Linked DNA regions of Pelodiscus sinensis. The protein of the gene in region 1 interacts with the protein of each later gene in a pairwise test. Links are inferred from orthologs where the notes say so. Each region holds a gene or a part of one and is shown on either strand. Other genes may lie near its edges.

Region 1 (8,009 bases):
CTGGCCTTTCTGAGCCCGGCACGGGAGACCTGGAAAAGACGTTCCTGCGTGCGCAACGAGGCCGGATCTCTCTAACCCGCGGCCATGGCCCCTGGGAACCCTTGGCCAGCTGTTTGGTAGCAGCGCTGTTGGGACGTGTCTCGGCTCCCGAGATAAGATCCTTTTCAGGCCAGCGGCCCGCGCAGCCTCCCCGCGGAGTCCCCTGCTCCCCCAGCCCCGGCAGGATCCCTTTGTCGGACGGAAAGGGGTCGGGGAGTGGCTGACGTCAGCCCTTTGCCGGGAGCCAGGCCTCGCCGCCGGGGCTGGGAGCGCTGTGTCGTGGGGCTGGCTGAGCTGGGGCTGGGATTTCATTTCCCCTCCCTGGCAGCGGCATGGTGCCGTCTCCCTGGGGCTCTGCTGTGCGGGCAGTGCAGGATCAGCTCTGGGGCAGGCTGGCTTCCTGCTCCGCCTGGCAGAACCCGCCCGCCCCGCCTAGGCCGTCTTTTCAGCCGTCCTGCCCACAAGCTCAGCCCGACGTCGGGTGTAACTCACCGCCATGTCAACGGGCCGGGCCTGCGCCTCTCCCTGCAGCATAACCCACCTCACCGGGGACCCTCCCGATAGCCACTAGTGGCCGTTTCCATGGACTTCAACCGAAGCGAGGCACACAGCTCCTCCTGCTCTGACAGCTCAGGCCGCCACAGGAGACTCTCCAGTAACTGCCAGCAGTAGAGGGCATATGACACACAGAAAATCAGAGAAAGACAGACACACCAGGTAGGTCTTTACAACAGGAAGGAAAGACTCCCGAGCAAACTCCTCTCTTGGGGGGCTGATTTAGCAAATGAGGGGGCTGTAAGGAGCAAGGGGGAGAGAGAGAAAGGAATGGCCCCCACCAGGCACTCAGCCCGCTGCTGGGCCTCGCCTGTGCTGGAGGGTGGGGAGGGCCCTGCCCTACCACATGCCGGGCTGCAGAATAGCCTGCCTCCTGATCACAACAGCAGCCCCTGTGCTCAATTCCTGCAGGGCCTGCCCCCTTCCCGCGGGGCCTGTCCCCTTCCCGCAGGGCCTGCCCCCTTCCCACAGGGCCTGTCCCCTTCCCGCAGGGCCTGTCCCCTTCCCGCAAGGCCTGCCCCCTTCCCGCAGGGCCTGTCCCCTTCCCTCAGGGCCTGTCCCCTTCCCGCAGGGCCTGCCCCCTTCCCACAGGGCCTGTCCCCTTCCCGCAGGGCCTGTCCCATCCCGCAAGGCCTGCCCCCTTCCCACAGGGCCTGTCCCCTTCCCGCAGCGCCTGTCCCCTTCCCGCAGGGCCTGCCCCCTTCCCACAGGGCCTGTCCCATCCCGCAGGGCCTGCCCCCTTCCCACAGGGCCTGTCCCCTTCCCGCAGGGCCTGTCCCATCCCGCAGGGCCTGCCCCCTTCCCACAGGGCCTGTCCCCTTCCCACAGGGCCTGTCCCCTTCCCGCAGGGCCTGTCCCATCCCGCAGGGCCTGCCCCCTTCCCTCAGGGCCTGTCCCCTTCCCACAGGGCCTGTCCCCTTCCCACAGGGCCTGTCCCATCCCGCAGGGCCTGCCCCCTTCCCACAGGGCCTGTCCCATCCCGCAGGGCCTGCCCCCTTCCCACAGGGCCTGTCCCATCCCGCAGGGCCTGCCCCCTTCCCTCAGGGCCTGTCCCCTTCCCGCAGCGCCTGCCCCCTTCCCTCAGGGCCTGCCCCCTCCCGCAGCGCCTGCCCCCTTCCCGCAGGGCCTGTCCCCTCCCGCAGCGCCTGTCCCCTCCCACAGGGCCTGCCCCCTCCCGCAGCGCCTGTCCCCTCCCGCAGGGCCTGTCCCCTCCCGCAGGGCCTGCCCCCTTCCCTTAGGGCCTGTCCCCTTCCCGCAGCGCCTGCCCCCTTCCCGCAGCACCTGTCCCCTCCTGCAGGGCCTGCCCCCTTCCCGCAGCGCCTGTCCCCTCCCGCAGGGCCTGTCCCCTCCCGCAGGGCCTGCCCCCTTCCCACAGCACTTGTCCCCTCCCTGCAGGGCCTTCCCCCTTTCTGTAGAACCTGTCCCTTCCCGCAGGGCCTGTCCCTGCCCCCTCCCGCAGGGCCTGCCCCTTCCCGAAAATAACCAGCGTAGCGGCTTTGCGCAAGAGGGTTTTTCTTGTGCAAGAAGGGGCCGTGTAGACAGCTCCTTGCGCAAGAGCCTCTTCTGCAAACATGGCGGCTCATTAGATATGCAAATGAGGCTCGGCGATAGTCCACGCTTAGCCTCATTTGCATATCTCTGGCGCAAGATCGCCCTGTGTAGACATAGCCACAGTGGGATGAGTCCCACGTTTTCATGCAGGACAGCGGCCTGGAGAGCGGTGTTACGTAGATTCCGGTAGCACGGAGGAGGCCCGGGTGTGCCGGGCGCTGTAGGAACACAGGAGCCACAGCGATCGCTCACGCAGCCCAGACAGACAGCGTGTGGCAGGACAGTTTACTCTTCTGGGCAGGGGCTGCGCACCCCTGTATGTGTGTACAGCTCCGAGCACTCCCTGGGCCATTAATACAATTCATGCCAGCCAGGCGTTCAGCCTCCTTACCCCGGCTCCCGGCTCCCGGCTCCTCGCCACTCTGGGCCGTGTGTCCCCCATGCGCACCTTTCAAGGCAGTCTCCAGGGCTCAAATTAGGTCTCAATTGGACTGGGCCAGCCAGTGCCAGCCCCACCCCCACCCTGGCACCACCCAAGGGCTTGTGGGGGGGCTGTAGTGGAGCATGGTGATTCTCTCACCCCCCCCACGCCTCCTCCCCCAGACCCTGCTCCCTGGCAGGCAAGCGGGTGGGAGGTGCCAACTTTTCTCCCCCCCCCTTCGTAGAATCATAGAACTCCAGGGCGGGCAGAGCCCTCAGGAGGCACCGAGTCCAGCCCCCTGCCCACGGCTGGACCAACCCCGACTCAATCAGCCCAGCCAGGGCTTGGTCAAGCTGAGACTTACACACTGCCTGGCACCGTTGGCCTTTTAGCTAATCCGCCACCGGAGGCTTGTTTTTCCGAAGGGGGGGTCAAATCTGTCCCTACGTGTCCCAGTAAACACCGCTGGCCACGGTGCACGGGGCAATGCAGCTCGCAAAGCCGGCTGCAGCCGGGAGCGATGCTCCAGCCCCCGGGAAGTTGTGTTGCTTTACTGCGGTGAGCGCTGCAAACTCCTGTGGCCACAATTCGATCAGTGCGTAGGCGAGCGCTTCCTGGATGAACCGCCCTGGGGTAAGGCCCCATAGATGGGTACAACGGGTCTGCCCAGGTCTCTCCAGCACCGTTCATGGGGTAACAACTCACCCCTCACACACACACACGGCCCCGTGTCACACGCACGCACACGCAGCCCTGTGTCGCACGCGCGCACGCACATGCAGCCCTGTGTCACATACACGCACATAGCTGTCACACACGCACTCACACACAGCCCTGTGTCACATGCACACACAGCCCTGTCACACACACAGCCCCGTGTCACACACACGCATGTACACACAGCCATGTCACACACGCACTCACACAGCCCTGTGTCACATACACGCACACACACAGAGCCCTGTCATACACACAGCCCTGCGTCACATACACGTGCGCACACACAGCCCTGTGTTGCACACACGCACGAACATACACAGCACTGTGTCACATGCACAGCCGTCACACACATGCACAAACACACAGAGCCCTATGTCACATACATGCACCCACATGCACGAACACACACAGCCTTGTGTCACATACATGCACACACACACAGAGCCCTGTGTCACACACACGCACAAACACACACAGCCCTGTGTCACACACACGCACACAGCACCATGTCTCTCTCACACATACAGCCCTGTGTCACACACATACACGAACACGCACAGCCCTGTGTCTTTCTCTCTCTTACACACAGCCCCATGTCACACACACACACACTCACACAGTCCCATGTCACACATACAAGCGTCCCGTGTCACACACACACACACACCCCTGTGTTATACACTCGCAGTCCTGTGTCTCACACACACACACACACAGCCTCGTGTCACACACATCCGCATGAACACACACATATAATCCCATGTCACACATGCAATCACACACACAGAGCCCCATCTCATACACTCACACACACACAGCCCCATGTCTCAAATACACACTCACAGAGTCCCATGTCACACACGCAGTCTCGTGTCACACACACATACAGACAGGCAGTCCCATGCCACATACACACAAACGCAGCTCCATGTCACACACACACACACATACACATGCACGCAGTCCTGTGTCACACACATGCGCGCACACACAGCCCCGTGTCACACACTCACACGTGCACATGCAGCCCTGTGTCACACACACACACAGTCCCGTTTCACACACTCATGCACATGCAGCCCCATGTCACACACACGTGCACACACAGTCCTGTGTCACACACACGCGTGCACACACAGTCCCGTGTCACACTCACACACTCACATGCAACCCTGTGTCACACACTCACACATGCAGTCCCGTGTCACACAACCACAGGCGCATAAGCAGCCCAATGTCACACACTCACACATGCAGCCTCGTGTCACACACTCACGCGCACACGCAGCCCCGTGTCACACACTCACAGGCGCACGCGCAGCCCCGTGTCACACACTCACACACTTAGCCCCATGTCACACACACAGGCGCACATGCAGCCCCGTGTCACACACTCACACACGCAGCCCCGTGTCACACACACACACACGCAGCCCCGTGTCACACACTCAGGCGCACACGCAGCCCCGTGTCACACACACACACACACAGCCCCGTGTCACACACTCACACACGCAGCCCCGTGTCACACACTCAGGCGCACACGCAGTCCCGTGTCACACACTCTCACACGCAGCCCCGTGTCACACACTCAGGCGCACACGCAGCCCCGTGTCACACGCGCAGGGCGCCCCCTGCTGCCGGCGGGCGGGCGTGCGGAGGGCGGCGCTGGGGGCGGGCTCGCTGCCCAGCCCAGCCCAGGCGGCGCGGCGGCCAGTCGGCCGGGGGAGCGCTGGGGTGCGGAGCTGCCGAGCCGCGCCGAGCCGGGCCGCGCCGCCTGGGCCCGCGGCGGGGCCGCCGGGGAAGATGAACTACCTGGTGAGTGCCCCCCCCCCCCCCCCCGCCCGCCGCGGCCCGGCCCATCCCCGCCGCCTCCTGGCGCCGGCCCCGGCCCATCCCCGCCGCCTCCTGCCGGGCAGCCGGGCCCCGCTGGCAGCTCCGGGCCGCCCCGCGGGACAATGCGGAGCCGCGGCCGCGCCGAGCGCCCTGCCCCGCACGACGTGGCACGGAGCGGGCGGCCCCCGGCGCCGGATCGGGCCCCGCAGCGGGCCCGGGGAGGGTCATTCGCCGGCCCAGAGCCCGGCCGCGCCGGGGGCCTGCGCTGGGGGTGGAGCCGGGGCTGGGGCCGGGCGTGAGGCTCGGTGCGCGGCGAAGCGGCTTTGTCCTTTGCGGGAGAGCGCGACGGACCCCCCTCCCCCCCCGTGATGAGTTGGTTGGGTCTCAGGCCGGGCCCCTAGCTGCTCAGTCCCCCCCCCCCCCCCCCGACCCCTGTGTTGAATTGGTTGGGTCTCAGGCCGGGCCCCTAGCTGCTCAGTCCCCCCCGACCCCTGTGTTGAATTGGTTGGGTCTCAGGCTGGGCCCCTAGCTGCTCAGTCCCCCCCCCCCCCCGTGTTGAATTGGTTGGGTCTCAGGCTGGGCCCCTAGCTGCTCAGTCCCCCCCCCCCCCCGTGTTGAATTGGTTAGGTCTCAGGCTGGGCCCCTAGCTGCTCAGTCCCCCCCCCCCCCCGTGTTGAATTGGTTGGGTCTCAGGCTGGGCCCCTAGCTGCTCAGTCCCCCCCCCCCCCCGTGTTGAATTGGTTGGGTCTCAGGCTGGGCTCCTAGCTGCTCAGTCGTCCCCCCCCCCCCCCGTGTTGAATTGGTTGGGTCTCAGGCTGGGCCCCTAGCTGCTCAGTCCCCCCCCCCCCCGTGTTGAATTGGTTAGGTCTCAGGCTGGGCTCCTAGCTGCTCAGTCCCCCCCGACCCCTGTGTTGAATTGGTTGGGTCTCAGGCTGGGCCCCTAGCTGCTCAGTCCCCCCCCCCCCCCCGTGTTGAATTGGTTAGGTCTCAGGCTGGGCTCCTAGCTGCTCAGTCCCCCCCGACCCCTGTGTTGAATTGGTTGGGTCTCAGGCTGGTCTCCTAGCTGCTCAGTCGTCCCCCCCCCCCCCCCCCGTGATGAGTTGGTTGGGTCTCAGGCCGGGCCCCTAGTTGCTCAGTCCCCCCCCCGCCCCCCGTGATGCGTTGGTTGGGTCTCAGGCCGGGCCCCTAGCTGCTCAACCCCCCCCCCCCCCCCCCCCCCCCCCCCGTGATGAGTTAGGTCTCGGGCCAGGCCCTGGTGCTCGCTGGACTGGTGGCCCAGACCCGGCCGTAGGCTCCGTGCCCCGGTGCCAGGGCGGGCATGCACTGTCCTTCCCCGCTGCCGGAGCCGTCTCATGCCAGCAGCGGGCGCAGGTCCTGGCTGGCCCGAGGGGTGCCTGGGATGGGGGCCCCGCCCGGGGACTGGGTTCCCAGCCAGGGGCCTGTCCCAGCGGGCAGCCTGGCTGCGACCTGGGCATATGTCCTGAGCATTTGTTCCCCCCTAGGATCCCCTCCCCCAGCATGGGCCGCTGCCCTGCCCCGGCCCCTAGCGCCTGCCAGCCCCGGCTCTCGGGGCTCTGAACCAGGGCCTGGTGGCCAAGATGGCCCAGAGGTTCCCCGGACACTCGGCCCCTTCATCCCCCCGAGGGCAGGCAGGGCCGACTCTGGCTCAGGTTGGGCCCGGGGCTCGCAGAGGAAGTGACCTGCCTGGAAGTCGTGTGGCACATCCGGCCGAGCACCGGACTTCCCCGCCCTGCTCTCCCCACTGGCCGGCGCTCCCTCCCTGACTCGGCCCCATGGGACAGGGGCAGTGCCCCCTGCTCCCACCCAGCTGGCGCCTTCCTGGGTCACCCCCCGGCAGGGCCTGCACCCTGCGATTGAGCCAGGGTGCTCTGGCACTTGGCACCAGCCCATGACAGCCAGGAGGGGGTGTCACCAGGCACTGCCCCCTTGCTGGCCCCGGGGGCAAGGGAGGAGGCCCACAGCGCCCTGACCCACACTGGGCCCTAGGCTGCCTCTCCCCTCCCCCCCGGCTGTGTGGGTGCCTGGAACCAGGCTGTCCAAGCTGGGGGTCTGGCAACATTTGACCATCGGGAGCTGGGTCTGTGCTGGGCAGGGGGCCCCGAAGCCTGTTGGGGGGGCCGGATTCCCCCCCCCCCGTGAGATTTGCCACTGGCAATAGAAGGGGGGAGGGAGCCGTTGCTGGAGGAGGCCACGTGGTGCCAGGGGCCGGCGGGGGGGGAACTGGCACAGCCGGTGGCTAGTGGCAGAGCGTAAGTGCCCTGCCCGCCTGCGTCAGCGACGGCGTTAATGATTCACCCGGCAATCAGCCTTCGGCCTGGCGCAGGGCCCCGCGGGGGAGGGGAGCGACTCCTGTCATGCTACAGCAGAGCGGGGGCAGGGACCCCCCCCCCCCCCCCCCCCGCAGCACTTGGAACCCTTGAGAGGAGACGCCCCCTTCGGCCAGGGCCTGCCCCCTGGCTGGGGCCGACCAGGGCTGGGGGGGATCTTCCCAGGTGGCGGGGGTCACAGACCCCTTTGGCAGTGCCCACGGCGGGGGGGTGTCTCTGCGCTGTGGGAGCTGGTGACGGCTTAGCTGGCTGGTTCCCCTGCTGTGTTCGGGGTTCTCTGTCCAACCCCCTTTGCCGCAGATTTGCCCCGGTGAGCGGAAAGGTGGGGGGGGATGGGGCGGTCGCCTGCGTCTCTGGGCAGCTGGTTCTGCCATGGCCGGGGGGGCTACCAGCCCCCTCGGGGCCATTCTCCTCCCTGGGCCTGGTTCCGACGGCAGGCGCTGTGGGGCTGGGCGGCCTGGTGCTGCGGGTACGTCCAGCGCCACGTGCGGCCGAGCCCCGAAGGCGACTGTCACCATCCAACAGCCCAGTGAGGAAGG
Region 2 (7,945 bases), on another chromosome or scaffold:
CTTCAAAATGTAGTGAAACGATATCAGTCAAATATTAAATGTACATAGACCATATATTTGAGATTATTGCCACATGGTTTATTACAGCAGTCTCTAAATTCCTTGCTGAATTGTAGTGCATAAATCTAAATGCCTTTGGTTACTCAATATTCTATCTCTCTTCTGATTTTATTTTATTTTGGAATTATAATCTGGCTGAACATTGTTTTGACAACCCTTTTCAATTCAAATAAAAAAAACCAAAAATGTGAAACTATGTGCAATTTCTAATTTATTTCATTTTCTTTTAACAGCCTTATGCAGATGAAAGCTGACAACAGAATGAAAGTAACTGGACTCATGCTGCATTTGTATCTAAACACTGTTTAAAATATGGACTTTTGATAAGCAACTATATTCTAAAAAGAAGGCATCTGTGGTGTAATACAATCTGATTTGCCAAAACGGACATCAGCAGAAGTTAATTTCATGTGTATCAGAATAATCTGTCTACAAAAATGTTATGGGGTGAGCTTAACTAATTCATACATATTATGACTATGCAAATTAAAAAATCAGAGTTGCCACATTTTTAAGGGTGGTTCATGTCTATTTTGTTTTGCGATTTGTAAGACTCAGCCTGGGGTCTGTTTGCCTCTTACCTTTTAACAAATTAAACTAAAAATGGTATAATTTACTTACTTGTAATTTTGTAATAAAGTCTCTTAAGCAGGGAGTGAAAACATCTAAAGATTCTAGCATTAAACATTTTAGGTCTTCGAAAGTAGACAAATCAAAAGGCTCAGTCAAAAAGAGTAAGGCAAAAGCATACCGTCATACACTATGTCAAATTCATGTATTAAATCAGTAATGCTGGGTTTCTTATCTGAAATGCAGCAAAAAAATACTCATAGAATTCTATGTCTAGATCTCTTACTAGCTCCATCACTAAGAATACATCAGAATACATACTTACTACTCCACATAATCACTTCCAGCAAAGATGCTGGACATCATGAATTGAAATCCTGGGGCCTTCCTTTTGGGCTTCAGGCTACATCTGGGTCAACTATCCCTATCTTTCTGTCACTTCTGTGCATATGTGCACAACTTTACCTTCCCCAAAATCTCCTAAACAGTGCATTTTTAGATGATTCTATTTTGTTCTTTTATCTTTATAAGCAGGTGCCAGCTCCACGCTGTGCCAAAATAGTTAAAGGCTATGTCAGTTCAGAATTCACCCCTGCCCTTAGCTTTGCCTTTATTAATTAGCTAATACTAAAAGAAAATAAAAAACCCAGAGAGGCTCCTTTCTCATGCCTTCTCCCCAAGCTTGGCTGCTCTTATGATTTTTCTCTTAAGACTGATGAGGCTTAGACCGAGTCCCAAACTGTTTACTAAGGTGACCCATCCACTGCATTTTCTTTCTTTTTGCAAGCCACCATTCCATATATGCACCCTCTGCCCTTGCGCTGTAATCTGAATCCTGGCCCAGTGCAGAGGAAGCTGGGGGCAAGGGAGGTTGAAGAGCAAGCCCACACTGCACTCACCCCTCTTCTATGCTCTCAGCTTTATGTGTAATGACCTGTTGTGTTACAGCACCACTCAAGTTTGGGGGGTGGCCAGGCTTTGTGACTCAATGTGTCTGGTTGCAATCACTGAACTAGGCAGCCAGGCCCGTTTTCGCAGGACAGAACCACCACTGTGGGATGTGGAGGGGACAGCCTTGCTCTCCACTCCCCCTCCTGTCTGCATCTGGCTGGCACAGTGTTGCTACGTCTAGACTACATTCCTTTTTCATAAAAGGGATGTAAATTAGACGTATCGCAATTGCTAATGAAGTGGGGATTTAAATCTCCCCCGCTTCATTAGCATAAAAATGGCTGCCGCTTTTTTTCGGCATGGAGCTTTGACGGAGAAATGCGCCAGTCTAGACGCTGATATTGTGGAAAATAAAGCCTTTTCCGAAAGATCCCTTATTTCATAGAGGGATAAGGGATCTTTCGGAAAAGGCTTTATTTTCCTCAAGATCAGTGTCTAGACTGGCGCTTTTCTCTGGCAAAGCTCCATGCCGAAAAAAAAGCGGCAGCCATTTTTATGCTAATTAAGCGGGAGAGATTTAAATCCCCGCTTCATTAGCAATTGTGATACGTATAATTTACATCCCTTTTACAAAAAAGGGATGTAATCTAGACGTAGCCTGTGTGTTACCTGGTTCAAGTCCCAGTGATGGGTTAACCTGGTCCTAGACACAGTGATTCATCTAGAATCTTCATGGGAACCACGATTTGGGAAACAATGGCTTAGATGTCTTTATCTGGGGGCTACTCTCCCTTCGCTTACATCCAGAATTAAAGAGTCGCACCTGTCACAATGAAGGAAGTATTTAAACTAATATCTCCCATCAGCTTTCTAATACCTTCTAACTTAATGGGTACACAAAAGAACCCAGCTGTCGTATTACAGTGCCATTCAGAATCTTGAAATGTTGACTTACCCAAGTTGGAAATCTTGTGGCCTTGATGTCTGAGATGTAACTCGCTTACAGAAGTTTCCTGTGTAATGCTGTACCAGGCATCCTATGCAAAATGGAGCTGAGGTCAGGTAGTTTAGTGTCATTCATTGGAAGATATGGTTCATGTGCTAGCTCAAACTCTGCACTACTGTCATGTTTAAATATTAATTGTATTTATTAATAAAAAATTGGGTGCTTTAATTTTTTGCACTGAATTTGTATATTTTTAATGCAGGACAATGTAGCACTTTAAAGACTAACAAGATGGTTTATTAGATGATGAGCTTTCGTGGGCCAGACCCACTTTCTCAGATCAGTTTTGATCTGAGGAAGTGGGTCTGGCCCACGAAAGCTCATCATCTAATAAACCATCTTGTTAGTCTTTAAAGTGCTACATTGTCCTGCATTTTGCTTCAGCTACCGCAGACTAACACGACTACATTTCTATCACTATTCTATATTTTTAATGTGTATCTAGGATTTCTGAAAAAAGTAAAAAGGAAGAAAAAAGGTACATGATAGAAATGACAATTTGGGATTGCTGTGTAGTGGTTTGAATAATTCTTTGGATACAGCAGTGTAGTTTTTCTAAATCTGGTGTTGCATACATCAGTGTAATTAATCATTTTAATATGATTACAAGAGAACTTTTTTATGCCTTGTTAATAACCCTAAATGTGTTTTTAAAAAATCATTAAAGAAAAACAGTAATCCCTCCTGTGGAAAGTGCACATGTAGTTAAGTGGGAGGAGATCAAACTATCATCTTGGAACTTGACAACACTCTTAATTCTGTGTACATCTCTCTTGAATTTCCTTATGTGCATGAGAAAGTCAGAGGGAACAATTTTATACATCACATGCTAGGAAAAAAAATCCTCTGTATGTGTCAAAAGCTATTTAGAAAATAAAACTGCTTCTTCCGGGGCACTATAGGTGTATATGAGAGAGGTTCCATCAAGTGCAGGGATGAAATGTCTGTCTGCAAACTGCCTAGCTGTGCAGACTAGAACACCATGGAGAGAAGGCTCTCGTTTTATAGCATGGTGAGTCCATCCTGTTCCACGACTAAGGCTAAGTGCTGTGACAATATTTAAAAGTTTGGCAGAAAGTTAATTTTTAGTTTGTATAATTTTGATGGGTAGTGTAATTGCAGATGTTTAGTTCTGCCCATTTTTTTCCAGTTTGTAGCTATTTGAAATGTATACTAATCACCAGCCACACCGGAAACACTAACCCAGGAACCAATCTCTGCAACAAACCCCATTGCCACCTCTGTTCATATATCCATGCTAATGACTAGGGCTCAACAAACCGCTGAATCTACTTGCCCGTGGCGAGTAGATTTCAGTAGGTTGCTCCGAGCGCCCCATTCATCAGCGCTTTGCGCATGCGCAGTGGGGTGCTGGCAAGTGGCTCTCGCTGGGGTTTGTCAAGCCCTGCTAATGACATCACATTAGTAGACATGCAGGTGAACAGGCCAAACCTGGGATAGGTGCAGTAATGGCTATTAGCCAGGATGAGCAGGGATGGGGTCCCTAGCCTCTGTTTGCCAGAAGCTGGGATGGGTGCCAGGGCAGGGATCACTTGAGGTTTACCTGCAGGCTGTGTCTAGACTGGCATGATTTTCCGGAAATGCTTTTAACATCTTTTCGGAAAAGAGCGTCTAGATTGGCAAGGATGCTTTTCTGCAAACGCACTTTTTGCGGAAATGCGTCCGTGGCCAATCTAGACGCGCTTTTGTGCAAAAAAGCCCCGATCGCCATTTTTGCCATCGGGGCTTTTTTTGCGGAAAACAAATCTGAGCTGTCTACACTGGCCCTTTTACGCAAAAGTTTTGCACAAAAGGGACTTTTGCCCCAACGGGAGCAGCATCGTATTTCCGCAAGAAGCCCTGATCTCAGACAGTAGGAAGTCAGGGCTTTTGCGGACATTCAAGCGGCCAGTGTAGGCAGCTGGCAAGTTTTTCCGGAAAGGCGGCTGATTTTCTGGAAAAACTGGCCAGTCTAGACACCTGGCTTGGGCCAGGCAGGACGCTGGGCGAGGTGCTCTCGTGGGCCAGCAGCGCCCCCTGCGGGCCAGCCTGTGTCTACACCCCGCAGACACTGGACGGGAAGGAGACGCGCAGCCGAGAGGGGGGGAGGAGGGATCTTGAGACGCCAGACGGCGCAGCATCCCTATGTGGGTGCCCCCCCCACTCGTCAGGGGCTGAAACCAGCGCCCCCCGCTGAGCCCCCAAACGCTTCCAGGCTCCGACCTGCCAGGCAGCGCAGACTACAGCCCCCAGCCTGCACCGCGCGCCGGCCTCCCAAAGGGAAGGCGGCTCTCGAGCCCCCGCGGCATGCTGGGAGTTGGAGTCTGAGACGCGCGCCAGCCCCGGGGCATGCTGGGACGCCTCTAGCTCGCCGCGGTCCGGGCTCCCCGCCCTCAGCGGTGGCGGGCGCGCGGCGATGACGAACGATGCCCCGCGCCCGAAGCGTTCGTCTCCTTGGCGACGATGGCCGGGCGGAGGGGCCGCAGCCCGCTGCAGGGGGCTCAGCGGCGGGGCCGCGAGCTGCGGCGGCAGGTACCGGCCCCTCGGGGGGGATCCGATCCGGGCAAGGGGAGCGGCGCCCCCTGCTGGCGGTGGGGGGATCCGGTCCGGGCAAGGGGAGCGGCGCCCCCTGCTGGCGGGGTGGGGGGATCCGGTCCGGGCAAGGGGAGCGGCGCCCCCTGCTGGCGGGGTGGGGGATCCGGTCCGGGCAAGGGGAGCGGCGCCCCCTGCTGGCGGGGTGGGGGATCCGGTCCGGGCAAGGGGAGCGGCGCCCCCTGCTGGCGGGGTGGGGGATCCGGTCCGGGCAAGGGGAGCGGCGCCCCCTGCTGGCGGGGTGGGGGGATCCGGTCCGGGCAAGGGGAGCGGCGCCCCCTGCTGGCGGGGTGGGGGATCCGGTCCGGGCAAGGGGAGCGGCGCCCCCTGCTGGCGGGGTGGGGGGATCCGGTCCGGGCAAGGGGAGCGGCGCCCCCTGCTGGCGGGGTGGGGGGACCCAGTCCGGGCAAGGGGAGCGGCGCCCCCTGCTGGCGGGGTGGGGGGATCCGGTCCGGGCAAGGGGAGCGGCGCCCCCTGCTGGCGGTGGGGGGATCCGGTCCGGGCAAGGGGAGCGGCGCCCCCTGCTGGCGGGGTGGGGGATCCGGTCCGGGCAAGGGGAGCGGCGCCCCCTGCTGGCGGGGTGGGGGATCCGGTCCGGGCAAGGGGAGCGGCGCCCCCTGCTGGCGGGGTGGGGGATCCGGTCCGGGCAAGGGGAGCGGCGCCCCCTGCTGGCGGGGTGGGGGGATCCGGTCCGGGCAAGGGGAGCGGCGCCCCCTGCTGGCGGGGTGGGGGATCCGGTCCGGGCAAGGGGAGCGGCGCCCCCTGCTGGCGGGGTGGGGGGATCCGGTCCGGGCAAGGGGAGCGGCGCCCCCTGCTGGCGGGGTGGGGGGACCCAGTCCGGGCAAGGGGAGCGGCGCCCCCTGCTGGCGGGGTGGGGGGATCCGGTCCGGGCAAGGGGAGCGGCGCCCCCTGCTGGCGGTGGGGGGATCCGGTCCGGGCAAGGGGAGCGGCGCCCCCTGCTGGCGGGGTGGGGGATCCGGTCCGGGCAAGGGGAGCGGCGCCCCCTGCTGGCGGGGTGGGGGATCCGGTCCGGGCAAGGGGAGCGGCGCCCCCTGCTGGCGGGGTGGGGGATCCGGTCCGGGCAAGGGGAGCGGCGCCCTCTGCTGGCAGGGTGGGGGATCCGGTCCGGGCAAGGGGAGCAGCGCCCCCTGCTGGTGGGAAAAGTCCAGTCCAGACAGGGGAACAGCACTCCCTCATGGCGGTGGGGGGAGCCAGTCTGTGCAAGGGGAGCAGCGCCCCCTGCTGGTGGCGTGGGTGGGATCCAGGCTGGGCAAAGGGAGCAACGCCCCCTGCTGGCAGGGTGGGGGGATCCAGGCTGGTAGGCGGTGTGGGGAGATCCAGGCTGGGCAGGGGAGCAGTGCCCTCTGCTGGTAGGATGGTGGGGTCCAGTCTGGGGAAGGGGTGTGGCACCCCGGATGTCATGGTTGGGGTTGGGAACGTTTCTTGTTTGATATCTGAGCCTCCAAGCCCATCTTCCCTGTGCTGTGCATCTCTGAATGCTGAAATCTTACCATGCAGGTGGATGAATTGCTTGCGGAGAGCAAGGAGAGGAGGGCCCTAGATCCTGCGAGAAGGAAGTACCTTTTTCAGAGGTAATTAATCCTAGCAATACACACGGCATAGAGGCAAAATGCACCGCTGGATCTGAAATCCAGGCTGGGACATGCGGGTAATATTTGTGAAGGGCTAAGCTGTTTGTCATTGAGGGATAACTGCAGCTGATTTTGATAGAAAGTTCCCTAAACAATTTTGCTATTAAATTCATCTTCAGTGATGTGGAGGGATGCCCATGTAAATTAATTATGGGGATTGGAAAGTTGAATAGTGGGCTCGAAGCCAGGAGACATAGGTTCTAGTCCCAGTCTTGCCACTCACTTCCTCTCTGTTTCCCCATCCATACAGAGAGGATAACTATCCTTCCTTTGTACCTGTCCTTTGTTTTTTTATCCAAGGATCAGAAGCTTCTGCTGATGAATCTAATATAATTATTTTAGAATTTTCAGTTAAACTAAACATGAAATAAAAAAATATATTCTGAAGTGGCAAGTTTGAACTCCCACGTCAGGCAATGGAAAGTGTAAAACAGGAGAAGCTGATGCAGTTCCTCTTGTGGAATTATTCTAGGCAAAGTTCGGAGGTACCTCTATGTGTGATTCTGTTCTGTGGAAAAATACATATGGATCCCATGTGCCTTGCTTTCTTTTTTAAATCAAATACATGGTTTTAAAAGTTGCAGTCTCTTTCTGCTTCTGGGGCAGATGATGTTGGGGTTAGCCTACCATGAGGCAAATACTCATTTCTTCTAATGCTATTATTTACATAGCACTAAAAACACACACAGAGAATTTAGGAAGGCAAAGTTCCTTTCCTAAGGGGCTTAAAATCTGTGCACTCGAGTAACCCCATTGACTTTAGTGGGACGACTTATGTTTGTAAAGTTACATATGTGTATAAGTACTCTGAGGTTATGTCTACACTACAAGCTTCTTTTGGAAGAAGCTTTTCTGGAAGATCTCTTCCAGAAAATCTTATTTCGAAAGAGTGTCTACACAGCAAAAGTGCAACGAAAAAGCGATGAGCTTTTTTGAAAATATCGTCCACATTAATTGGACACTGTCTCGCATTTAAGTTGTGATTAGTCTGGATGGAGTGGTTTTTCTGGAGGCCCTTCTTTCGAAAGAGCTCCCTCTTCTGCATCCATACACACCTTTTTCCAAAAAAGCTTTTTTGGAAAAAGGCTTCTTCCCCGTGGAATGAGGTTTACCGCCATCGGAAAAACCCCTCCATTCGTTTGTCTTTCTTTCGAAATAATTCAATAGCAGTGTG

Evidence for each region. The genes of interacting proteins can lie anywhere in the genome.
Region 2: the proteins of BCAR1 (region 1) and NPHP1 interact in a two-hybrid assay, tested with the Homo sapiens proteins (2 studies listed by BioGRID). The link is inferred for Pelodiscus sinensis from reciprocal best matches to the Homo sapiens genes BCAR1 and NPHP1.

Annotation. Positions count from the first base shown.
Region 1 is NC_134722.1:47,958,831-47,966,839, forward strand, and holds the start of BCAR1 (breast cancer anti-estrogen resistance protein 1), read left to right. Parts: upstream 1-4,944; 5' UTR 4,945-5,092; coding exon 5,093-5,104; intron 5,105-8,009. UniProt on the Homo sapiens protein: Docking protein which plays a central coordinating role for tyrosine kinase-based signaling related to cell adhesion. Implicated in induction of cell migration and cell branching. Involved in the BCAR3-mediated inhibition of TGFB signaling.
Region 2 is NC_134713.1:196,721,119-196,729,063, reverse strand, and holds the start of NPHP1 (nephrocystin-1), read left to right. Parts: upstream 1-4,876; 5' UTR 4,877-4,990; coding exon 4,991-5,059; intron 5,060-6,637; coding exon 6,638-6,711; intron 6,712-7,945. UniProt on the Homo sapiens protein: Together with BCAR1 it may play a role in the control of epithelial cell polarity. Involved in the organization of apical junctions in kidney cells together with NPHP4 and RPGRIP1L/NPHP8. Does not seem to be strictly required for ciliogenesis.